3 linked regions of the Stegostoma tigrinum genome follow. The protein of the gene in region 1 interacts with the protein of each later gene in a biochemical or structural test. Links are inferred from orthologs where the notes say so. Each region holds a gene or a part of one and is shown in the gene's direction. Other genes may lie near its edges. The genes, in order: xrcc1, polb and aptx.

What was found.
Region 2: the proteins of xrcc1 (region 1) and polb form a complex in vitro, tested with the Homo sapiens proteins (5 studies listed by BioGRID, with this or other methods). The link is inferred for Stegostoma tigrinum from reciprocal best matches to the Homo sapiens genes XRCC1 and POLB.
Region 3: the proteins of xrcc1 (region 1) and aptx form a complex in vitro, tested with the Homo sapiens proteins (2 studies listed by BioGRID). The link is inferred for Stegostoma tigrinum from reciprocal best matches to the Homo sapiens genes XRCC1 and APTX.

Annotation. Positions count from the first base shown.
Region 1 is NC_081394.1:5,015,759-5,023,784, reverse strand, and holds the start of xrcc1 (DNA repair protein XRCC1), read left to right. Parts: upstream 1-4,707; 5' UTR 4,708-4,986; coding exon 4,987-5,037; intron 5,038-8,026. UniProt on the Homo sapiens protein: Scaffold protein involved in DNA single-strand break repair by mediating the assembly of DNA break repair protein complexes. Negatively regulates ADP-ribosyltransferase activity of PARP1 during base-excision repair in order to prevent excessive PARP1 activity.
Region 2 is NC_081393.1:16,183,219-16,191,773, forward strand, and holds the start of polb (DNA polymerase beta), read left to right. Parts: upstream 1-4,998; 5' UTR 4,999-5,170; coding exon 5,171-5,231; intron 5,232-8,555.
Region 3 is NC_081356.1:29,976,754-29,985,039, reverse strand, and holds the start of aptx (aprataxin), read left to right. Parts: upstream 1-4,907; 5' UTR 4,908-4,998; intron 4,999-5,257; exon of another isoform or gene 5,258-5,437; intron 5,438-5,599; exon of another isoform or gene 5,600-5,852; intron 5,853-6,987; 5' UTR 6,988-6,991; coding exon 6,992-7,121; intron 7,122-8,286. UniProt on the Homo sapiens protein: DNA-binding protein involved in single-strand DNA break repair, double-strand DNA break repair and base excision repair.

The DNA of each region.
Region 1 (8,026 bases):
CTTGAGATAAACGACAACATTACATTTGTTTTCTTAATTACGGACTCTACCTGCAAGTTAACCTTTAGAGAATCCTGGACCAACACTCCCAGATCCCTTTGCACTTCTGCTTTACAAATTTTCTCACCGTTTAGAAAATAGTCCATGCCTGTATTCTTTTTTCCAAAGTGCAAAACCTCACATTTGCTCACATTGAATTTCATCAGCCATTTCCTGGACCACTCTCCTAAACTGTCTAAACCTTTCTGCAGCTTCCCCACCTCCTCAGTACAACCTGCCTGTCCACCTATCTTCATATCATCGGCAAACTTCACCAGAATGCCCCCAGTCCCTCCATCCAGATCATTAATATATAAGGTGAACAGTTGTGGCCCCAACACTGAACCCTGAGGGACACCACTCGTCACTGGTTGCCATTCTGAAAAAGAGCCTTTTATCCCAACTCTCTGCTTTCTGTCAGACAGCCAATCCTCAATCCAAGCCAGTAGCTCACCTCGAACACCATGGGCCCTCACCTTGATCAGCAGCCTCCCGTGAGGCACTGTATCAAAGGCCTTTTGGAAGTCTAGATAGATAACATCTACTGGGTTTCACTATTCTAACATACTTGTTACCTCTTCAAAGAATTCCAACAGGTTTGTCAGGCACGACCTCCCCTGACTAAATCCGTGCTGACTTGTTTTAATCCAACCCTGCAATTCCAGGAATTTAGAAATCTCATCCTTGACAATGGATTCTAGAATTTTACCAACCTCCGAGGTTAGCCTAATTGGCCTATAATTTTCCATCTTTTGTCTTGCTCCTTTCTTAAACAAGGGGGTAACAACAGCAATTTTCCAATCATCTGGGTCTTTCTCAGGCTCCCTCTCCCATTCTCCCCATCCCTCTCCCATTCTCCCCATCTCGCTCCCATTCTTCCCATCCCTCTCCCATTCTCCCCATCTCGCTCCCATTCTTCCCATCTCTCTCCCATTCTTCCCATCTCTCTCTCATTCTCCCCAACTCTCTCCCATTCTCCCCAACTCTCTCCCATTCTCCCCATCTCGCTCCCATTCTCCCCATCTCTCTCTCATTCTTCCTATCTCTCTCCCATTCTCCCCATCTCTCTCTCTCTCATTCTTCCTATCTCTCTCCCATTCTCCCCACCTATCTTCCATTCTCCCCATCTCTCTCCCGGTCTCCCCATCTTTCTTCCATTCTCCCCATCTCTCTCCCATTCTCCCCATCTCTCTCCCATTTTCCCCATCTCTCTCCCATTCTCCCCATCCCTCTCCCATTCTCCTGATTTCTCTCCTATTCTCCCCATCTCTCTCCCATTCTCCCCATCTCTCTCCCATTCTCCCCAACTCTCTCCCATTCTCCCCATCTCTCTCTTATTCTCCCCAACTCTCTCCCATTCTCCCCATCTCTCTCCCATTCTCCGCATCTCTCTCCCATTTTCCCCATCTCTCTCCCATTTTCCCCATCTCTCTCCCATTCTCCCCATCCCTCTCCCATTCTCCTGATTTCTCTCCTATTCTCCCCATCTCTCTCCCATTCTCCCCATCTCTCTCCCATTCTCCCCAACACTCTCCCATTCTCCCCATCTCTCTCCTATTCTCCCCAACTCTCTCCCATTCTCCCCATCTCTCTCCCATTCTCCCCAACTCTCTCCCATTCTTCCCATCTCTCTCCCATTCTCCCCAACTCTCTCCCATTCTCCCCATCTCTCTCTCATTCTTCCTATCTCTCTCCCATTCTCCCCATCTCTCTCTCTCTCTCATTCTTCATATCTCTCTCCCATTCTCCCCATCTCTCTTACATTCTCCCCATCTCTCTCTTATTCTCCCCAACTCTCTCCCATTCTCCCCATCTCTCTCCCATTCTCCGCATCTCTCTCCCATTTTCCCCATCTCTCTCCCATTCTCCCCATCCCTCTCCCATTCTCCTGATTTCTCTCCTATTCTCCCCATCTCTCTCCCATTCTCCCCATCTCTCTCCCATTCTCCCCAACACTCTCCCATTCTCCCCATCTCTCTCCTATTCTCCCCAACTCTCTCCCATTCTCCCCATCTCTCTCCCATTCTCCCCAACTCTCTCCCATTCTTCCCATCTCTCTCCCATTCTCCCCAACTCTCTCCCATTCTCCCCATCTCTCTCTCATTCTTCCTATCTCTCTCCCATTCTCCCCATCTCTCTCTCTCTCTCATTCTTCATATCTCTCTCCCATTCTCCCCATCTCTCTTCCATTCTCCCCAACTCTCTTCCATTCTCCCCAACTCTCTCCCATTCTCCCCATCTCTCTCCCATTTTCCCCATCTCTCTCCCATTCTCCCCATCCCTCTCCCATTCTCCTGATTTCTCTCCTATTCTCCCCATCTCTCTCCCATTCTTCCCATCTCTCTCCCATTCTCCGCATCTCTCTCCCATTTTCCCCATCTCTCTCCCATTTTCCCCATCTCTCTCCCATTCTCCCCATCCCTCTCCCATTCTCCTGATTTCTCTCCTATTCTCCCCATCTCTCTCCCATTCTCCCCATCTCTCTCCCATTCTCCCCAACACTCTCCCATTCTCCCCATCTCTCTCCTATTCTCCCCAACTCTCTCCCATTCTCCCCATCTCTCTCCCATTCTCCCCAACTCTCTCCCATTCTTCCCATCTCTCTCCCATTCTCCCCAACTCTCTCCCATTCTCCCCATCTCTCTCTCATTCTTCCTATCTCTCTCCCATTCTCCCCATCTCTCTCTCTCTCTCATTCTTCATATCTCTCTCCCATTCTCCCCATCTCTCTTCCATTCTCCCCATCTCTCTCTTATTCTCCCCAACTCTCTCCCATTCTCCCCATCTCTCTCCCATTCTCCGCATCTCTCTCCCATTTTCCCCATCTCTCTCCCATTCTCCCCATCCCACTCCCATTCTCCTGATTTCTCTCCTATTCTCCCCATCTCTCTCCCATTCTCCCCATCTCTCTCCCATTCTCCCCAACACTCTCCCATTCTCCCCATCTCTCTCCTATTCTCCCCAACTCTCTCCCATTCTCCCCATCTCTCTCCCATTCTCCCCAACTCTCTCCCATTCTTCCCATCTCTCTCCCATTCTCCCCAACTCTCTCCCATTCTCCCCATCTCTCTCTCATTCTTCCTATCTCTCTCCCATTCTCCCCATCTCTCTCTCTCTCTCATTCTTCATATCTCTCTCCCATTCTCCCCATCTCTCTTCCATTCTCCCCAACTCTCTTCCATTCTCCCCAACTCTCTCCCATTCTCCCCATCTCTCTCCCATTTTCCCCATCTCTCTCCCATTCTCCCCATCCCTCTCCCATTCTCCTGATTTCTCTCCTATTCTCCCCATCTCTCTCCCATTCTCCCCAACTCTCTCCCATTCTCCCCATCTCTCTCCCATTCTCCCCAACTCTCTCCCATTCTCCCCATCTCTCTCCCATTCTCCCCATCTCTCTCTCATTCTTCCTATCTCTCTCCCATTCTCCCCATCTCTCTCTCTCTCATTCTTCCTATCTCTCTCCCATTCTCCCCATCTCTCTTCCATTCTCCCCAACTCTCTTCCATTCTCCCCAACTCTCTCCCATTCTCCCATCTCTCTCCCATTTTCCCCATCTCTCTCCCATTCTCCCCATCCCTCTCCCATTCTCCTGATTTCTCTCCTATTCTCCCCATCTCTCTCCCATTCTCCCCATCTCTCTCCCATTCTCCCCAACTCTCTCCCATTCTCCCCATCTCTCTCCCATTCTCCCCAACTCTCTCCCATTCTCCCCATCTCTCTCCCATTCTCCCCATCTCTCTCCCATTCTTCCCATCTCTCTCCCATTCTCCACAACTCTCTCCCATTCTCCCCATCTCTCTCTCATTCTTCCTATCTCTCTCCCATTCTCCCCATCTCTCTCTCTCTCTCATTCTTCCTATCTCTCTCCCATTCTCCCCATCTCTGTTCCATTCTCCCCAACTCTCTTCCATTCTCCCCAACTCTCTCCCATTCTCCCCATCTCTCTCCCATTTTCCCCATCTCTCTCCCATTTTCCACATCTCTCTCCCATTCTCCCCATCTCTCTCCCATTCTCCCCATCCCTCTCCCATTCTCCTGATTTCTCTCCTATTCTCCCCATCTCTCTCCCATTCTCCCCATCTCTCTCTCATTCTTCCTATCTCTCTCCCATTCTCCCCATCTCTCTTCCATTCTCCCCAACTCTCTCCCATTCTTCCTATCTCTCTCCCATTCTCCCCATCTCTCTTCCATTCTCCCCAACTCTCTCCCATTCTCCCCATCTCTCTCCCATTCTCCCCATCTCTCTCCCATTTTCCCCATCTCTCTCCCATTCTCCCCATCCCTCTCCCATTCTCCTGATTTCTCTCCCATTCTCCCCATCTCTCTCCCATTCACCCCATCTCTCTCTCTCATTCTTTCCATCTCTCTTCCTCCCAACCCAATCTCTCTCCTCATTCGTTTTGGTTTGGGGGGGGCCTGCCAGTCACAAAGATGGCGGCGGCCTTGCCTGTCTCACGTACTGGCGCTTTAGTCTAACCCTTGACCTTTGCTATCCTGGCGCCGCCCGTCCCCAAGAAGGAAAGAGCCGAAAGTAAAAAATGTCCCTCATTGTGACCTGAGACTCGCTCTGCGATGACAGCGGCAGGAATGCTGCTTCAGATTTTTTTATTTGAACGCTATTCAAATCCGAAATAAGTTTTCCGTCGAGGAGCGGGGAGTGTGACCCGGAAATGGAATGCAGAGGGTGAGCCCGCGGCGGGAAGAGGCAGGAAAAAAAATGGACGAAACCCTTAAGTGTTTAAACCTCGCTTAAGAGACGTTTTCATCGCTGCTGCGCCGATCCATGAGGAAAACCCCCTGTTAAATATTGCCCCCTGTCACTCCCGAGGGGTTTTCAGCGCGATCCTGAGATTTTTTTTTGTTTTGACTGTCACATCGAACAAAGTCCACACAGTCGCATTTTTTTTTTTAGCCATTTGTATTCTCCCCCTCACACCAGTTTGCAGGATGCCCGAGATCAAGCTCCAATATGTCGTGTCGTGTAGCAGTGAAGACACGGTGAGCATAACCTCCATCCCTTACCCAGCAGACCGCTCACTTCACCCTCTTGGCCAATGTTCGTCAGGCAAGTTGTTGACCTTTGGGATGGCACTTGACGCTCTTGTGTCATTGCCTGTTCTGTTGGCACCTCCAGGACGATGCCTGTCGCTCGGCCCCTTTGGGTGGTGTTGGCGCTGGTAGGGCTATCCCTCGGACCGCCCCTCTGAGAGACCCCCGTGTTCAGGACCTGGCTTTCCTTTGTGCAACTCCACCTCCGAAATGGTGAAGCGGGCACGACCTTCCGACAGGGAGCTGCCCGTGGGTTGAAACAGGGCATTTCCTACGAGGGCTAGTATTCGTGCGTTGGGCTGAATGGGTGTCCAGCCATTCTGGGATGTGAGGGAGCGGGCACTGTCGGAGGGTCAGTGCTGAGGGAGCGGGCACTGTTGAGGGTCAGTGCTGAGGGAGTGGGCACTGTCGGAGGGTCAGTGCTGAGGGAGTGGGCACTGTCGGAGGGTCAGTGCTGAGGGAGAGGGCACTGTCGGAGGGTCAGTGCTGAGGGAGTGGGCACTGTCGGAGGGTCAGTGCTGAGGGAGCGGGCACTGTCGGAGGGTCAGTGCTGAGGGAGCGGGCACTGTCGGAGGGTCAGTGCTGAGGGAGCGGGCACTGTCGGAGGGTCAGTGCTGAGGGAGTGGGCACTGTCGGAGGGTCAGTGCTGAGGGAGCGGGCACTGTCGGAGGGTCAGTGCTGAGGGAGCGGGCACTGTCGGAGGGTCAGTGCTGAGGGAGCGGGCACTGTCGGAGGGTCAGTGCTGAGGGAGCGGGCACTGTCGGAGGGTCAGTGCTGAGGGAGCGGGCACTGTCGGAGGGTCAGTGCTGAGGGAGCGGGCACTGTCGGAGGGTCAGTGCTGAGGGAGCGGGCACTGTCGGAGGGTCAGTGCTGAGGGAGGCGCCGCACTGTAGGAGGGTCAGTGCTGAGGGAGTGGGCACTGTCAGAGGGTCAGCGCTGAGGGAGTGGGCACTGTCGGAGGGTCAGTGCTGAGGGAGTGGGCACTGTCGGAGGGTCAGTGCTGAGGGAGTGGGCACTGTCGGAGGGTCAGTGCTGAGGGAGTGGGCACTGTCGGAGGGTCAGTGCTGAGGGAGTGGGCACTGTCGGAGGGTCAGTGCTGAGGGAGTGGGCACTGTCGGAGGGTCAGGGCTGAGGGAGTGGGCACTGTCGGAGGGTCAGTGCTGAGGGAGTGGGCACTGTCGGAGGGTCAGTGCTGAGGGAGTGGGCACTGTTGAGGGTCAGGGCTGAGGGAGTGGGCACTGTTGGAGGGTCAGTGCTGAGGGAGTGGGCACTGTCGGAGGGTCAGTGCTGAGGGAGTGGGCACTGTTGAGGGTCAGGGCTGAGGGAGTGGGCGCTGTCAGAGGGTCAGTGCTGAGGGAGTGGGCACTGTCGGAGGGTCAGTGCTGAGGGAGTGGGCACTGTCGGAGGGTCAGTGCTGAGGGAGTGGGCACTGTCGGAGGGTCAGTGCTGAGGGAGTGGGCACTGTCGGAGGGTCAGTGCTGAGGGAGCGGGCACTGTCGGAGGGTCAGTGCTGAGGGAATGGGCACTGTCGGAGGGTCAGTGCTGAGGGAGTGGGCACTGTCGGAGGGTCAGTGCTGAGGGAGGCGCCGCACTGTCGGAGGGTCAGTGCTGAGGGAGCGGGCACTGTCGGAGGGTCAGTGCTGAGGGAGTGGGCACTGTCGGAGGGTCAGTGCTGAGGGAGCGGGCACTGTCGGAGGGTCAGCGCTGAGGGAGTGGGCACTGTCGGAGGGTCAGCGCTGAGGGAGTGGGCACTGTCGGAGGGTCAGTGCTGAGGGAGTGGGCACTGTCGGAGGGTCAGTGCTGAGGGAGTGGGCACTGTCGGAGGGTCAGTGCTGAGGGAGTGGGCACTGTCGGAGGGTCAGTGCTGAGGGAGTGGGCACTGTCGGAGGGTCAGTGCTGAGGGAGTGGGCACTGTCGGAGGGTCAGTGCTGAGGGAGTGGGCACTGTCGGAGGGTCAGTGCTGAGGGAGTGGGCACTGTTGAGGGTCAGGGCTGAGGGAGTGGGCACTGTCGGAGGGTCAGTGCTGAGGGAGTGGGCACTGTTGAGGGTCAGGGCTGAGGGAGTGGGCACTGTTGGAGGGTCAGTGCTGAGGGAGTGGGCACTGTCGGAGGGTCAGTGCTGAGGGAGCGACGCGCTGTCAGAGGGTCAGTGCTGAGGGAGTGGGCACTGTCGGAGGGTCAGTGCTGAGGGAGGCGCCGCACTGTCGGAGGGTCAGTGCTGAGGGAATGGGCACTGTCGGAGGGTCAGTGCTGAGGGAGTGGGCACTGTCGGAGGGTCAGTGCTGAGGGAGGCGCCGCACTGTCGGAGGGTCAGTGCTGAGGGAGCGGGCACTGTAGGAGGGTCAGTGCTGAGGGAGTGGGCACTGTCGGAGGGTCAGTGCTGAGGGAGTGGGCACTGTCGGAGGGTCAGTGCTGAGGGAGTGGGCACTGTCGGAGGGTCAGTGCTGAGGGAGTGGGCACTGTTGAGGGTCAGTGCTGAGGGAGTGGGCACTGTTGGAGGGTCAGTGCTGAGGGAGCGGGCACTGTCGGAGGGTCAGCGCTGAGGGAGTGGGCACTGTCGGAGGGTCAGTGCTGAGGGAGTGGGCACTGTCGGAGGGTCAGTGCTGAGGGAGTGGGCACTGTCGGAGGGTCAGTGCTGAGGGAGTGGGCACTGTCGGAGGGTCAGTGCTGAGGGAGTGGGCACTGTCGGAGGGTCAGTGCTGAGGGAGCGGGCACTGTTGAGGGTCAGGGCTGAGGGAGTGGGCACTGTCGGAGAGTCAGTGCTGAGGGAGTGGGCACTGTTGAGGGTCAGGGCTGAGGGAGTGGGCACTGTTGAGGGTCAGTGCTGAGGGAGTGGGCACTGTTGAGGGTCAGTGCTGAGGGAGTGGGCACTGTCGGAGGGTCAGTGCTGAGGGAGTGGGCACTGTCAGAGGGTCAGTGCTGAGGGAGTGGGCACTGTT
Region 2 (8,555 bases), on another chromosome or scaffold:
TTTTAAATGTAATTTGAAAGTACTCGATGGCTGTGTAATGCTTCTAGGTTGTCCTGAAGATGTGTTTAAAAACATGATTTCGTGGAAAGTGAAATCAGCTGTCAAATCAGCTTCTGTGTGAATCCCTAATCCCTTGCAAAAGTGATGGTGAACTGCAAAAGTCCATGTGGTGTGAATACAGCTAGAATTGTGTTTGCAAGAGGGATCCTAGATTTTGACTTGGTGACAGTGAAGGAATAGCTTCATATATGGTTCTAAATCAAGATGGTGAGTGGTTTGGAGGGGAACTTGCAGGTTGTGGTGTTTCCATCATCTGCTACCATTGTCCATATTTGTGGTAGTTTGCAAGTTCGGAAGGTGCTGCTGAAGCCACCTTGAGTTGTTGCATTGCATCTTGTCAGTGGTACACACTGTTGCCACTGTGTTTCAACGGTGGAGGGAGTGAATGATGGTGGATGGGCTGCCAGTCAAATGGACTGATTGGTGTAAATGCTCTTCATTATAGTTGGCAGCACCATCCAGGCAAGGAGAGAGTATTCTATCACATTCCTGACTTGAGCTTTGTCGATTCTTGAAGGCTTTGGGACGTCAAGAGGTGAGTTACTCGCCATAAAATCCCAGCATCTGACCTGCTCTTGTAGCCATTGCTTTTATGTCATAGGTCCATTTGTGTTTTTGGTCTGTAGCTGTTATTTGGTAATTGTGCCTGCGTGGTATTCACGGTAATGCAATTGCATTTCAAGGTGAAATTGTTAGGTTCGCTCTCTCTTGAATCTTTCATTGCCTGGACAAGACCAGTTTCATGTCATCATGTAAAAGAGTGTTGGGGCCAGTGGCTGTACATTTCTTCTGTCCCTCACTGCGCTTAATCATCATGATAACTGGTACCTGGTTATTGTGATGATAGCAGGCTTTAACAGTGGTTATTTTGTGCAGGTTTTTTTTGAAGAGAGGTTTTAAGGCGGGATATCGAGCAGTCTAGCAGAACTACTAGACTAAAGTGCATGTATGGCCTTGAGGTTTTGTTTTAAAAAGTTGGAACTCTAGGTAATTCAAGATGGAGGATGGGAAAAACATTACGGCTGTAGGAGCTGCTCCCTTGATGTATTTTCAGTGTTGGTACTGATTTCCTCAAATTCTAGGAGCAATAATTGCTATTCTTTAAGCTGTTCGATTGTTTTGGAACTTTGGGAGGAAAATAAAATCAAAACAATGTCACTTTAAAAAGGAGGAAGAGAGACAAAAACAGTGATTCAAATGGAGAAAGAAACTTACACTGCAGTTTGACACAGCAGTAACCTGCACAGCTGCTGCCTTTGCTATCTAGTATCTCATATCTCTGGACATTTGGAGTTTGTTAGAATTACAACATTTAAAAGGCAACTGGATGGTATATGAATAAGAAGGGTATAAAAGGATATGAACCAAATGCTGTCAAATGAGACTGGATTAATTTAGGATATCTGGTTGGCATGGACGAGTTGGACAGAAGGGTCTGCTTCCATGCTGTAAAGCTCTATGACTCTCATAAAATGTGTTTTGCTTTAAATCTGGTAGTTTAACCAAGCGAATTGTATCTGAAATGCAACACTTAACGTTAACCTTAAAATAAAAAAAAAGTTAGAGTTTAGACTATGTTCTGAATGTTGAGTTTTGGTCTGGTCCATAACGCTGCACACTTAAGGATATAACACTGCTTAGATTTACGTGCAACATGTTAATGAGGATGTAAGTTTCTAACTATTCAAGTCAAAAGCAAAATAATTCAGCAGGTTGGTTTTATATCTCTAATTATACAGTCATGGTTTTCATATTCAAAATGTTATTTCCCATTCACATTCCAAAAAAACAGCGTCAATAATGTTAGACTATATTGAATGTAAAATAGGATTGCTTGTTAGAAATGGAATTCCTCCGATCAACAGTTGCGCTACTTTGTCAAGTTGTAGTTCTCTTGTAACATACATGGGAACAGGCCAAACAGCTGCTGTAATCAACATAATGGTCCACATATTTATAATTTTTTTTGCAAAAAGGGACTTGATTCCGATGCAGCTCAGTCAGTGGAAAACAGTCTGTTACAGGAGGAAACTAGTTCAATTGTGATGAAAGTTCATGATTTCCTTTGGAGACTTGCAATCTAAATTGGGAAGGGCCTTCAGTTTCTTCATTATGTATGTTAGGAAGGACTTAAGTTTCATTTTTGAGTTCAGTGAACAGGATATATGGAAACATACGAACATGCATTTAAAGTAGGACTAATTTGGGTAATTTGGGTGGCATGGATGACGTTGGACCAAAGGGTCTGTTTCCATGCTGTATGACTCTATGAAGAGTTCAGTGCTTTAATAAAACAAGGGTGTGGGGGAAAAAGTGCTGTTGTCTAGCAAGAAGCTGCCCTATGACACAGGGAGACAAAGACAGAGACATAGACAGGAACCAGCTCTTTTAGAAAGAGCGAGCCAGGCAGGAGGTGTACAGGTTTCTGCAAGAGAAGACAGGTCTATGTCTGTAAAGTCCTTGTTAACCTAGCAGTGTGCAAAGTGGTGTTCGGAGAAAGATCTCGAGTGGTTATATTGTCAGGAAGAGAAAGCTCCAGAAACAGAAGTCTGTGGAATAGGAGTTTTAAAAAATCTATGTTAGGAAATAAGTGAAGAGCGTTAGCAGTTTGTTTAAAACTCTTGGGAAGAGGTAATAGTTGAAGAAGTAGCATTGAATGAATTCAGAAGTTTGTTGCAAAGAAGCCAAGTCCAACCACTTAAATGCAACAAGAAACTTGAAAATCTTCACTGAATTTTCACTGGACTTTGAATGTCTGTAAGATATTGTTTTACTGTTGAGGATAAAGGGCTGAATTGTTTAAAAAAATGTTTCACAGTTCTTGTATGTATTTTTCCCCTGTTGTGTGTAATAAACATTGATATTCTTTAATAACAAGGCATAGAGCTAGATGAACACAGCAGGCCAAGCAGCATCAGAGGCAACAAAAACAAAGTTGCTGGAAAAGCTCAGCAGGTCTGGCAGCATCTGTGGAGGAGAAAACAGAGTTAATGTTTTGGGTCTGGTGACCCTTCCTCAGAACCGATGGTGGCTGCGAAAATGTCAGTTTATATGCAGAAAATAGGGAGGTATGTGGGGTAGGGAGTAAACAATAAGACAGAGCCCAAAGAGAGAGGAAGACAGTTGGACAGACAAAAGAATTGCTAACAATCAGGCTCGGAGGGTGAACAGTTGTTAATGGGGACTGTTAGTGACTAACAACAGAGGGTGTATAGTGACGGGCTATGTGGTAACAAGGCCTGGTGAGTGGGGTGGGGGGGCTGGGACATGGGGGTGTTTAGGCCGTAAAGTTATTAAACTCAATATTGAGTCCAGAGGGATGTAGTGTCCCCAAGCGGAAAATGAGGTGTTGTTCCTCCAGCTTGTGCTGAGCTTCACTGGAACATTGCAGCAAGCCAGAGGGTCTAGGACTGAAACGTCAGCTTTCCTGCTCCTCTGATGCTGCTTGGCCTGCTGTGTTCATCCAGCTCTACACCTTGTTATCTCAGATTCTCCAGCATCTGCAGTTCCTACTATCATTGATAATGGGAATTGTAGATGCTGGAGAATCCAAGATAACAAAGTGTGGAGCTGGATGAACACAGCAAGCCAAGCAGCATCTTAGGAGCACAAAAGCTGACATTTCGCGCCTAGACACTTCATCAGAGAGCCCAAAACATACAGAAATAAAATTTATGGTTTATCAATTTAGGTTTCATTGGATAGATTCAAATCAGACTTCACAATGTTACCATCAGTTAGGATCATAATTCAGGACCTACTTCAGTACAAAAATTAAGACTGGTATTCCATGTTGCTGCACAGTTGTTGTATGAAATGTTAAATATGTTGGGTAGATATAAAAGATTGCTTTGCAGTACAGGGGAGTTTTCCCTGCAGTTTTGGCTAATTTATCCTTCAGCCGATATTGTGAGAATAGATGATCTAGCCAGCATTACATTGTTATGAGAACTCGATCTCAAAAATCAAAATTTTCGTGTGGACACTGTGGACAGAGGGCTTTAAAGTGTTTCTCCCATCAGCAGAAGCAAAATTAGTAAAGCTTCTGACTGACCTATACTGGTCTGAATCATCTAGTATACTTCAAAATGGAGCTTCAGGATCAGCAGGACATTAACTCTTAAGTATTACTTCCTCCCCTCCCCAAACCTCTTCAGGTTCTGTTTTCTCAACTGCCGTTACTGGAGAGGTCAAATGATGCTCTTCACAGCAAACTCAGCACTACCTCCTCGAGCAATTGCTGATGGGGAATAAGAGCTGGTCCAGCCAGTGCTGGCCACATCTTGTGAGTAAATTAATCTGAGGCACTGTTGGAAGCCCAGAAACATTGATATTAGCGACTCGGAGGAGTTTACTCGTGCTGAATCGGCCATCCAGCTTTCTGTCTCGCGAGTTAATGAGGCAGAGAGCCAGCAGAGAAGACGGGGGGGAACGGAATTAACCCCTGAAGTGGCCTGTTAAATGACAAGAACGCCCACGCCAGGAACCCCTTTCACTCTGATTCGACTACATTCTCACATGGAGGCATTGGCTATGGGATAATAAAAGATGCTATGTAAATACGAGTCTGACACGGGTGATTTGGTGATGGGGCGGGGAAATCGTTCAGTTGTGTGTAAGAGCACTTCTGGACGGACACACACACAATATGCAAGTCGTTTGAAAGGGTCGGGGTTGGTGATGACGAATGTCCTGGGGAAAACAACATGGTTTGAACAGTGGGGTGAGGAACTTTCATTGTCTCCACGGCCATTCGTGAAAAGAATCCTATAATTTCAATGTGTAAACGGAGCGCAAAATAAAGTAAATCAAACAATAATTGTTCCGGGATGCCTATGTTAAAACAACACGTGATTGTACATTGCCACAAATAAGTTTTGATGGTACCTGTAATCTGGGTGACGGTTGGGTCACGCGCGCGGCCGTTCGGGTTTAAATCCCAGCTGGCCGTTGGTCGCGCGCACGCGGCCTAGCAGCGCGGCTGAAGCCTGGCCTTTTCCTGACAGGACATCCCCGGGTTTTGGAGGGGGAGAGCCTTGTCAGAGCCGACGGTCACGCGAAGTGACGGCTAGCGTTAGGTTGCCTGGTTACTTTATCGTCCTTCGCCACCATGAGCAAGAGGAAAGCGCCGCAAGAGACGCTCAACGAGGGGATCACCGATTTCCTAATCGGTAAGAGGAAGGGAGGAAGAGGCAGCGGTGGCCTGGGATCGATGTGTCGTTCCGATCCTCAGGGAGAACTAGGGAAATCGGGTTGTCATTAATCGAGAAGGAATGTCAGGACAGTGCAGACCTTCCCCAGCCGGTGTTGAAAGCGGGCCTTACTGTTTCTCCATTTTTAAATCTTTGCAATATTCAAATTTTTAACCCTGAACCCAAAGCAGAACGTAAAACTAAACCCCAGCTAAAGCAGCTAATCATAATTCTAACCCGAAATCCATTCCCGAAATCGATACCTACCCTGATACTAATACTATGTTGAATTTTTAGAGCTACAGCCTGAACCCACTCATAAACCAGATGCGCACCATTTCCAAAAGGCGTTTAATAAAGTACCTCATTAGACTACATTTCGAGGAGTCTGTTGTTTTGAGATAACAAGGTGTAGAGCTGGAATGAACACATGAGGCCAAGCAGCATCAGAGGAGCAGGAAAGCTGACGTTTCAGGTCTGGACCCTTCTTGGGAAGAGTCTAGACCCTTTGTTTTGAGTGTGAATAGAGGATTGGCTGACTAACTGAAATAGAGTTAGGATGAGGGGGGTAATTTCAGGATAGCAACTCCTGGAGTATTGCAAGGGCCACAATTGTTTACAATATATGATACCAACTTGGATGCAGAAAATGAGTGTACAGTAACCAAGTTTTCAGATGATGCAAAAATAAATGGGAAAGCGAGTGGTGAGGATAATACAGTCTCAAGTGGGACGTGGAGAGATTACATGAGTGGGCAAGATCTCGGCAGATGGAGTGTAAGTGAGGAAACGTTTAGTTATGTACAGTCCTAATAGAACATAGAACATTACAGCACAGTACAGGCCCTTCGGCCCTCAATGTTGTGCTGACCTGTGAAACCAATCTGAAGCCCATCTAACCTACACTATTCCATTATCTTCCATATGTTTATCCACTGACCATTTAAATGCCCTTATAGTTGGTGAGTCTACTACTATTGCAGGCAGGGCATTCCTTATAAGAAAATCCCTTCATACCCAGAGTCAACCCAGGGAACCTTCACTTGACTGCTTCCAACACCAGTACATCTTTCCTTAGATAAGGGGATGAAAACTGTTCAAAATATTTTAGATGTGGGCTGACTAAAGCCTTGAATAGTTTTAACGAGACCTTTCTGTTTTTAATACTCCATTCCCCTTGAAATAAAAGCCAATAATCCATTGTGTTCCCTTTTACCCACTGAACTTGGACATCAGCATTTTGTGATTCATGAAAAAGAATTCCAAATTCATCTATTGTGCAACTTTCTCTGGTTTTCCCCATTTAAATAATATTCAGATCTTCCATTCTCCCTAGTTTGGCAAGAGGACCAAAAGAGCAATCTGCTGAGCTTTTCTAGCAATTTTTGCTCTTGTTCCTGATTTAAAGCACCTGCAGTTCTTGTGGATTTTATTTTTCATGAAATAATGTTATTATACCACAGATGGTGTCAGACCTGCTGAGCTTTTCCAGCAAATACTGTTTTTGTTTCTGATTTTTAGCATCTGCGTTATAGAGTCATACAGCACAGAAACAGACTCTTTGGTCCATACAGCCCATGCCGACCACAATCCCAAATTAAACTGGTCCCCCCTGCCTGCACTTTGCACATATCCCTCCAAACATTTCTTCTTCATGTACTTTAAAATGTATTTTAAATGTTGTAACTGTACCCGTATCCCCCACTTCCTCTGGAAATTCATTCCTCACATGAACCACTCTCTGTTAAAAAAACAAAATGCCTCTCAAGTCTTCTTTGAATCTTTCTCCACTCCGTTTAAAAATATGTCCCCAGTCTTGAAATCCTCCACCCAAGGGAAAAGACACCTGTCATTTACCTTATCTATACTCCTCATGATTTTATAAACCTCTATAAGGTTACCCCTTAACCTCCTACGCTCCAGTCGAAAAAGTTCCAACCTATCCAGCATCTCCTTTATAACTTAAACCTTCTGTTCCTTGCAACATCCTGGTAACTCTCTTCTGAACCCTCTCCAGTTTAATAATATCATTCCTGTATCAGGAGACCAGAACTGGACATGGTACTCCAGAAGATGCCTTACCAATGCCACATAACGTCCCAACTCCAAAATATAAAGGTCTGAGCAATGAAGGCAAGCATGCTGAACACCTTAACCACCCTAATTTTACATGATGCCAGTTTCAAAGAATTATGTACCTGATTCCTGGTTCTCTCTTTTCTCCCACACTACCCAAGATCTATTTTTAATAGTATAAGTCTTGCCTTTGTTTGTTTTACCTACCAAAATGCAACAACTTGCATTTATCCAAATTAAACTCTATTTGTTACACTTCAGCTCATTGATCCAATTGATCGAGATCCCTTTGTAATCCTAGATAACCACCTTCACTATCTGATATATCACCAGCTTTGGTGTCATCCTCAAACTTATTAACAATGCTCTCTGTATTCGCATATCAATGACAAACAAAAGTGGACCCAGCACTGAACCCTGTGGAACACCACAGGTCACAGGTCTCCAATCTGAAAAAAAACAGCCCTCCACCACCTATGTCTGTCTCCTGCCATTAAGCCAATTTTGTATTCAGTTGGCAAGCTCACCCTGAATCCCATGTCATCTAACTTAACCAGTTAGTCTGCCATGCGGAACCTCGTTCTTTGGTTTTTATTTTTTGTAGAAATGCTGAATATTATTTGAATAAGTGGAGAAAGATGCAGCACAGAAGGATTTGGGTGTCCTCACGCATAGATCCAAAATGCTAGCATTTAGATGGCCCAGTGGCTGGGCGGCTAGTGCTGCTGCCTCACAGTTTGAGGGACTCTGGTTCACTTCCACCCTGGGGAGGACTGTGTGGAATATGCACATTCTCCCCATGTCTGCGTTGATTGTCCTCTGGGTGCTTTTGTTTTCTCCCACAGCCCAAAGATGTGCAGGCTATGTAGACTGACCAAAGTAAATTGCCAATAGTGTTCAGGGATGTGCAGGCTAGGTAGAATAACCATGGGAAATGCAGGGCTGCAGGAATGGGTTGGTGGGAGGGGAGTAATGCTCTTTGGAGCATTGGTGCGGACTTGACAGACCAAATGGCCTGTTTCCATATTGATTCTGTGAAGTTCAGTGGGTAATAGGGAAGCAAATGGAATGTTGGCATTGATTTCAGCAGGAATGGAGTACAAAACAAGGACTTCTTGATAAAACTGCACAAGGCACTAGGTAGACCACACTTGGGATGGTGTAAACAGTTTGTTTATTTAAGGAAAGATGTACTGTCATCGGTGGCTGTCCAGAGAAGGTTCACTC
Region 3 (8,286 bases), on another chromosome or scaffold:
GAGGGGCCCAGCAATCACTTGTCTACCTTCCCATAGAGTTCTAGGGTACACCTGATCAGGTCCCAGGAATTTATCCACTTTTATGCATTCTAAGATGTCCAGCACCACCTCATCTGTAACATGGACACTTTACAAAATGTTGGTATTTATTTCCCCTGTTTTGTATCTTCTATATCTTTTTCAACAGTGAACAAAAATACTTGTTTAGTATCTCCTATTTCCTGTGGTTCTGCACATGGGTGGCCTTGCTGATCTTTAAGAGGCCCTATTCTCTCCTTAGTTATCCTTTTATCGTTAATGTATTTGTAGAATCCCTTTGAATTCTCCTTAAACCTATTTGCCAAAGCTATCTCACGCCCCCTTTTTGCCCTCCTGATTTCCCTCTTAAGTATACGCCTACAGCTGCCTTTTGACTCTTCTAAGGATTCACTCTATCTCTGCTGTCTGTACCTGACATACACTTCCTTCTTTTTCTTGACCAAAACCTCAACTTCTCTCGTCATCCAGCATTCCCTACACGACCAGCCTTGTCTTTCACCCTAACAGGAACAAACTGTCTCTGGACTCTCATTATGCCATTTTTGAATGCTTCCATTTTCTAGCTATTCCTTTAGTTGTGAACATCTACTTCCAACCAACTTTTGAATGTTATTGCCTAATACCATAAAAATTGGTCTTCCTCCCATTTAGAGCGTTAACTTTTAGGTCTGGTCTATCCTTTTCCGTCACTGTTTTAAAACTAATAGAATTGCATGAAACAAAACTTGGAATTAAAATTAAAGCTTGGAATGCTCTGTAGACACACTTGTTTTATAAAAAAAACATGAGTGAATATGACAATGTTGTCTATTATAAATAAAATGACATTACCGCATCAAAAAGGACTGATATAGCAAAGAAAAATTGCACTTTTATTAAATCATAGGATGTGGACTTCCCCGGCAAGGCCAGCGTTGATGCCTATCTGTAATTACTTGTGAAGGTAGCAGTGACCTGCCTTCTGGATGTACTGCAGACCATCTGAAGTGACTTTTAAGGATCTGAGCCAGTAATATCAAGGAACAACAATACATTTCAAGGTTAAGTTAGTGAAAATTGTAAGTGCTGATGTTTGATAAGCCTGCTGTCCCTGTCTTCCTAAATGATAGAAATTGAGAATTCTAATGTTTTTGAGTAGATCTGTAGCTCGGGTGATGGATGTTATGGTTGGTTGGTTTGCTGAGCTGGTTTGTTGTTCCACAGACTTTTCAGTACCCTGCTGGGCAACATCATCAGTGCAGCATCCGATTAAGTGCTGTTGTGTTTTCCAGCCTGGTATTTAAACTCTGTCAACAGATAACAAGAACCAAGAAAAGACAGTTTCTTCAAGAAATCGAAAATTGAGAGTTCAAAACTCAACACAGCAAATCGTGGACTAAATTCTGCTACTTAATAAATTAAGAATAAAGGTAGTGATCATGTAACTACTGATGTTATCAAAATACACTTGATTCATTAATGTCCTTTCAGAAAGGAAGGTGGCCATTTTTGCCAACTCATCCTATATTGACGCCAGACCTATATCAATGTGGTTGGCTCTTAAGTTCCCTCTAAAATGGATTTAGGCAGCCATGAAGACAGTTGAGCAACAACTACTCAAGGTTTATTAGAATGGGCAATAAATACTGACATTACTAATGACAGCCATGTTGTAACTGAGATAAACCTACAACAGGTTGTCTTTTAAAGTGCTTCAGGAATGAGAACAGATCTGATATATTTGATCAAGTTAGAAGGCACATTACTCAACATTCCACCAATGCAATATCTGAACTTAAAATAGCCAATGTTGATACTTGGTCTTTAGGTTCCTCAATTCCTATCAATTGCCTGAATATTCAAGAAGCATTTAAAATACCAGGGCATACTAGGATATGGGACCAAGTGCAAGTTTAGTTAGGTATTTGTTGATCAATATAGACATGGTGGGCCGGACAGCCTGTTTCCACACTGTATGACTCTGATAAGGTACATATAGAGCTTTCAAGGCATGTGGGGTATGGGAGGAAGGGAGAGGTGTCCATAGCTGCCCAACACAAATATAACAGAAAACTCCAATAGAGACTTCAGAAGAAACTTCTTTACACAGAGTTAGGTGTTTGTTTTTGACTGGCATGGATACAGAAGGGGCTTTTTCTGTACTGTAGATTTCCTGTGACTTCCAGAGTGATGGGAATGTGAAACTCACTTCAAAGTGCTGCAGCTCCGCTTTAGACACAATCAGTTGAACGGACTCCTTTGTTACAACAATTCTGTGATTTTGAGTAGGTGAGGCAGAAAAAAACATGGATGCAGTTAAGGGGAAAGCTTGATATGTGTATAAGGGAAAAAAAGAACATACGCTAAAGAAAAATAAGAAAAGTATAGCGGGAAATGTAAATGCTAGCACATGAGTTGGTGTGAATAGCTTGTTACATCATTTTCTTTTATAGTCTCAAAAGAGAGCTACTTTTATCCCTTTTCAGTTCTGGTATCCAAGATTTCCCCGACCATATTTAGTAAAGGCATTGACTTGTACAATTCATAATACAATCAATCTTTAATTCATTTACAATAGTCAACCATGGATACATCATTCACAGTTACAGCAACAGATATTGGCCACAATACACAGCTACATTTCGAACTACAATTAACAAAGTCTAGGGCATACAGATAACTTGGAGTTTAAATTATTCTTTGGTAACACTTTTGGCAGCACAAACATAATCAGTTTAGCACTACATCAAAAATATGTAAACAAATGAGTCATTTTGAATTGTCATTTTCAAATCAGTTATTGTAAAGCATACATTCCACAGACAAACTCAAACTTGTAGTGGGATGCAGCCGTCACTGCCTAAGCTGGCATTTATTACACGTCCCTAACTGCTCTTGAGAAGGTTATGGTGAATTACCATCTTGAACCACTGCAGTCCATGTGGCGAAGACAGTTACACTGTTATTTGGGATTTTGACACAGCAACAGTGAAGGATGGCAAAATAGTTACAAGTCAGGATGGTGCGTGGTTTGGAGGAAAACTAGCAGATGATGGTGTTCCCATGCATAAGCTTTCATTGTCTTGTCAGTGACTATTATTTTGGAAGGTACTGCCCAAAGAGAAAACTCTAAATATCTAGTCAATAACACTGATTTGCTCTAATTTATTACTCTTTGTCAAAATAAATGTTATGTTCATACAAAATGTTACCAGAACAAACAGGAGTAGGCCATTCAGTTTCCTCAAGCCTACACTGCCATTCAACAGCATCATGGCTGATGCGACACATTCCCTAAATCCACTTTCCTCATAACCCTTAAGGAAAGGCTAGGAAAACCTGGATTGTCTTCTCTTGAGTGGCGCAGGCTGAGGGGATACTTGATAGAAGTCTATAAATTATAAAGATGCACAGAAAAGGTTGATGGTCAGAATCTCTTTTCCTGAGTTGAAATAACAAATACAATGGAGCATGCATTAAAGGTGAAGGCGGGGGTGGGCAAGTTCAAATGAAATGTGAGAGGCAAGTGTTTTTTTTGCAGAGAGTGGTAGGAGTCAGGAACACACTGCCAAGGGTGGTGGTGGAGGCAGATACAATCAGAGCATTTAAAGGACTTTTAGATAAGCACATGAATACGCAAGGAATGGAAGGATAAGGACCAATGGAAGGCAGGAGGGATTAGTTTCATTTGGCGTCATGTTCGGCACAACATCATGGGTCGAAGGGCCCGATTCTATATCTCTAAAACTGCTCAAAGTATTCCAGATGTTTTCTCACCAGGACCTTGTACAGTCGCAGTAAGACTTCCCTACTCTTACATTTCTATCTCTAATCACAATACACTTAGCCTAATCAATGCAAACAGTAATCTATCATTGAAGCAAACATAAAAATGAACTCCTGGCTTACTAAACACCACACAAACCTACAGCTCACAGAAGAATGAAAAATATATAAAAACTTATACCACTGGCAGGAGATTGGCTCCTTCAGAGACACCACAATTCAAATGGGTTCTTTCTGTGCTGTAACATTCCTTCTAATTGAGGCCGCACCAAACTGCAATTCTGTGAAAAATTCCAGTGGAGTAGTCATGCAAAAATCTCAAAGTTTAACTCCTCCGGTGCAACATCAAACCCAAGAACCAACTGCTTAATCGGATGCTTCAGCTAATTACTAAAGCTTCCATTTTCACTTTGAGACATAGCCAACACTCAAACAGCAATCAATATTAGATAAATTCATAGAATCCCTACAGCTTGGAAACAGGCCCTTCAGCCCAACAAGTCCACAACGACCCTCAGAGCATACAACCCAGACCCACCATCCACCTAATCTTCACATCTTTGAACACTATTGGCAATTTTGCATTGCCAATCCACCTACCCTGCACATCTTTGGACTTTGGGAGGAAACAGGAGCACCCAGAGGAAACCCACACAGACACAGGGAGAATGTGCAAACTTCACATAGAAGGTTGTCCGAGGGTGGAATCAAACCTGGGTCCCTCGTACTGACAGGCAGCAGTGCTAACCACTGTATGACAACCAATTATTTGGTCTTACTCAGTTGAGAGACAAAAAGTATCTGCATATGCTAGAATCCAATCAGTACCCAAAATGTTGGCTGCTCCTTTCTTCCAGGTGCTGTCTGGCAGGCTGTGTTCTTCCAGCCTCCTGTTTGTCTTTGTCAAAATTCTCTCTTAAATCGTCCAAACAACAAATAATTGTAATTAAAAAGAGAAAATGTTGGCAATATCATATCAGTTTGTGGAGAGGGGGAAAAAACAAGAGTACTAAGGTAGAGATAGTAGGAACTGCTGATGCTGGAGAATCTGAGGTAACATAACAGCTATGAAGCTGGATGCACACAGCAGGTCAAGCAGCACCAGAGGAGCTGGAAAGTTTGACGTTTCAGGTCGAGACCCTTCTTCAGAAAATGTTCATCCAGCTTCAGACCGTGTCATCTAAGAGTAATAAGGTAACATTTTCTTAAAAACAGTGAGTTATGACCTAGATGGGCTACCTGAAAGACAGGAGGAAGCAGATTAAATGTAGTGAATTTCAAAAGGGAATCAGGTAAGTATTTGAGAAGGAGGAATTTGCAAGGTTTCTGCCGGAAATAAGCAGAGGATCTGGGATAAACTGAAAAGCTCTTTCAAAGAGCCAGCGCAGTTTATGATACCAAAGGGACTGCGACCAGAACAACAAATGAGATTCTCTGATACAACAAGGTGTGGAGCTGGATGAACACAGCAGACAAGCAGCATCGGAGGAGCAGGAAGGCTGACGTTATGGGCCTAGACCCTTCATCAGATCCTCTTCCTCGCCATCAGTCCCCGGCTCACGACGGCTACATCGTCTGGTTTTTTCAACGAACACTCAACCTGTGTCAGGGAATGAGGGAAGGAACCGAGAAGGTTTGACAAAGAATTTTCGACACTTCACTTCCGATACAGCTATCTATGTCATTAAGCCGGTCGCCTTTACACTCGCGAGACGGTCAGTGACAAGAGCTCCCGCCTTACAAAGATGGCGTCCACGCGGCTTTTCCTCTACGGTGCGCGCATGCGCGGCGCAAGTTGCACATGCGTGATCTAAAGCTGGGGTGTCGCAGTGCACGTCGGGGAACACTTTCAATTGCTTTTTGAAAATAAATAGTTAAATCGTAGAGCGATGTGGGAAACCTAAGTGACACGTTTGCTCTTTAAAGTGTTACCCAGGCCCTGGTGTGGGAGTTAGCTGGCTGCGGTTTTGTTTTTTTTTTAAACAGCTTTCCTGAGCGGAGCCTTTGGGCCCACTGATTCCAGGGACTGTCAGACCTGCTGCAGTCAGGTAGGACTAGCTTCAACAATGAGCGTGGGTAGAGGTCCATTAATAGCCCTCAAGGAAATTGGGTACACTCATGAAAAGGAAACACGTAGGAGAGTAGGACTAGTGTTTTCAGACAGCCAGCACAGGAATGACTGGTCTGCCTTGCGTCATCATTCTAGTTAGCTCTTCTACACGTTGTAATTTAAGCCGCATCACTTTAAACATTTTTAATAGCTTTGCAAAAGTAATGGCTGTTACCCGTAAGCTGAAAGACGTTCACTTTTGTCTCCGGAGGCGATTGTTTGAGTCTTCTCACGAGAAGCCTTGAGACAACACTCTAACGCAGTCCTGAGGAAGTGTCACGTTATCAGGGATTTCTTTCCAATGATATTTAATTTGAGACCTCATTCTCCCCCTCAATAAGATAATCTGTTCACTGTGACACTGGAGTGAATGAGACCATGATATGAACAAATCAGATGTCCGGTGTCCTATATTAGAGCTGTGGCAACATATCTAAAGCAATAGGTTTAAGCTGCTTTTGGATTATGAAAGGTGCAAGAAGATGCAAGTTCTTCTTGCTTTCAATTTGAATGATTATAAAATTACAGTACATTTGTTTCCTACCCAGTGCTATTGCTTTAGCTTGCTTAGCACTTCATTTAGATTAGGTTTGAACGTCAGTGTCCTGGTTGGTTAAATTGTAGCCAATTTTTTATTAAAGAAAACTGTTAGTTTGTATTTCTTTGATTTTGGAGCTGTGGATTTGTACAGAATAAATGAATCCTTAAGTGCTAAATTGATTTAGGTTTTTAATAATTGAACACATTACAATGGAGACTTACATCTTTATAGTTTTTAACATTGTGGTGATTTATGAGCAATTGTGAAACAAGACAACACAGATCCTTGTAAGGATGTAATAGGACAAATGGCCAACAGCTCTGTCAGACACATACTTTAGGGAATGCCTTAAAGAAGGAGAGAAATAAAGAGGTTCATGGAAGGAATTTCACAACTTTGGCCTTTGGAGCTGAATGCATTGTATACAGCATTGGGAGGTTATAATGAACAAGAGACGATTTGGCATACAGAGACCTTGGACAGTTAGAAGATAAGGGATATCTCTGAGTGTAACTAATTTTCTGTCTTGCAGAATAATGCGAGTTTGTTGGTTGGTTAGTAAAGATGGGAGGCACCAACCAATACAACTGGCACACTTAGTCTGTGTTATGATTGGAAGGAGTCCTGAAACCAAAATAACAGATAAAAAATGTTCACGGCATCAAGGTGAGTGGTAACTTTTTTTGTATGAAATTTCCAACGGCTTCAAAACAAATTGGATATTGCTTAGAAATCAGTAGGTTAGAGATATTTGCAAGCTGAAATGACCAAACTGGAGGAGAAAATGGCTCTATTGGCATGGAGATAATGTCCTTGGGAAACTGGGTTGAATACAAGGGATCTGTGGACTGGAGTAGGGTCAGTAGTTTAATCAAATTTGTTCAAGAAACATTAAGCAGAACGTTCCATATTAGATAACTAAGTGTGGGGCTGGATGAACTTAGCAGGCTAAGCAGCATCTTAGGAGCACAAAAGCTGATGTTTCGGGCCTAGACCCTTCATCAGAAAAGTGGGATGGGGAGAAGATTCTGAAATAAGTAGGGAGGTGGACTGAAGATGGGTGGAGAGAAGAGTATGGGTGGGGAGGTAGGGAGGGGATAGGTCAAGGGGGTGGGATGAGGTTAGTAAGTAGGAAATGGAGGTGTGGCTTGAGGTGGGAGGAGGGGATAGGTGAGAGGAAGAACAGGTTAGGGAGGCTGGGACGAGCTGGGCTGGTTCTGGGATGCAGTGGGGGGAGGGAGATTTTGAAGCTGGTGAAATCCACATTCATATTAGATGTTTTGGCGACTTGATGAGCTAGACGCTGAAAGGATACTTTCTTTCATGAGGGAATCGAGAGCTACAAAGTAAAGGTTCAATTTACGATGGAATTTCCTTCCTCCAGTGAGCCGTGGAGGCTTTTCATTGAATATATTTCAGGCTGAATAATAGATTTTTGATTGAAAAAGCAGTCAAGGAATGAGCGGGATAAGAGTCAGGCAAGAAAGTGGAGCTCAGGCCACAGTCAGATCAGCTGTGATGTGACCTTTTGGCTAGTGGAGAATTTTCAAAAGGCTGCATACCCCGCTCCTGTTTTTCATGATCTTGAAAAGATGACTTATTCGTAACCTATAGTGAGACCAGTCATAGTCCATCTGCTACTGTTCTGGCTGAACAAAGACTGTGGATTGAACCTGGAAGTTTACTTTGGCGGTTTCACTGATATCTCATTGGATAAACTTTCTAATCCATGCTACAAGTTTGTTGTGGGGGCCGGTTGTACGTCATTAATCTTTGGGATTTCCAACTTTTATGACATACTGATGAGTCCTGGGACATGCAGAAATTTTAT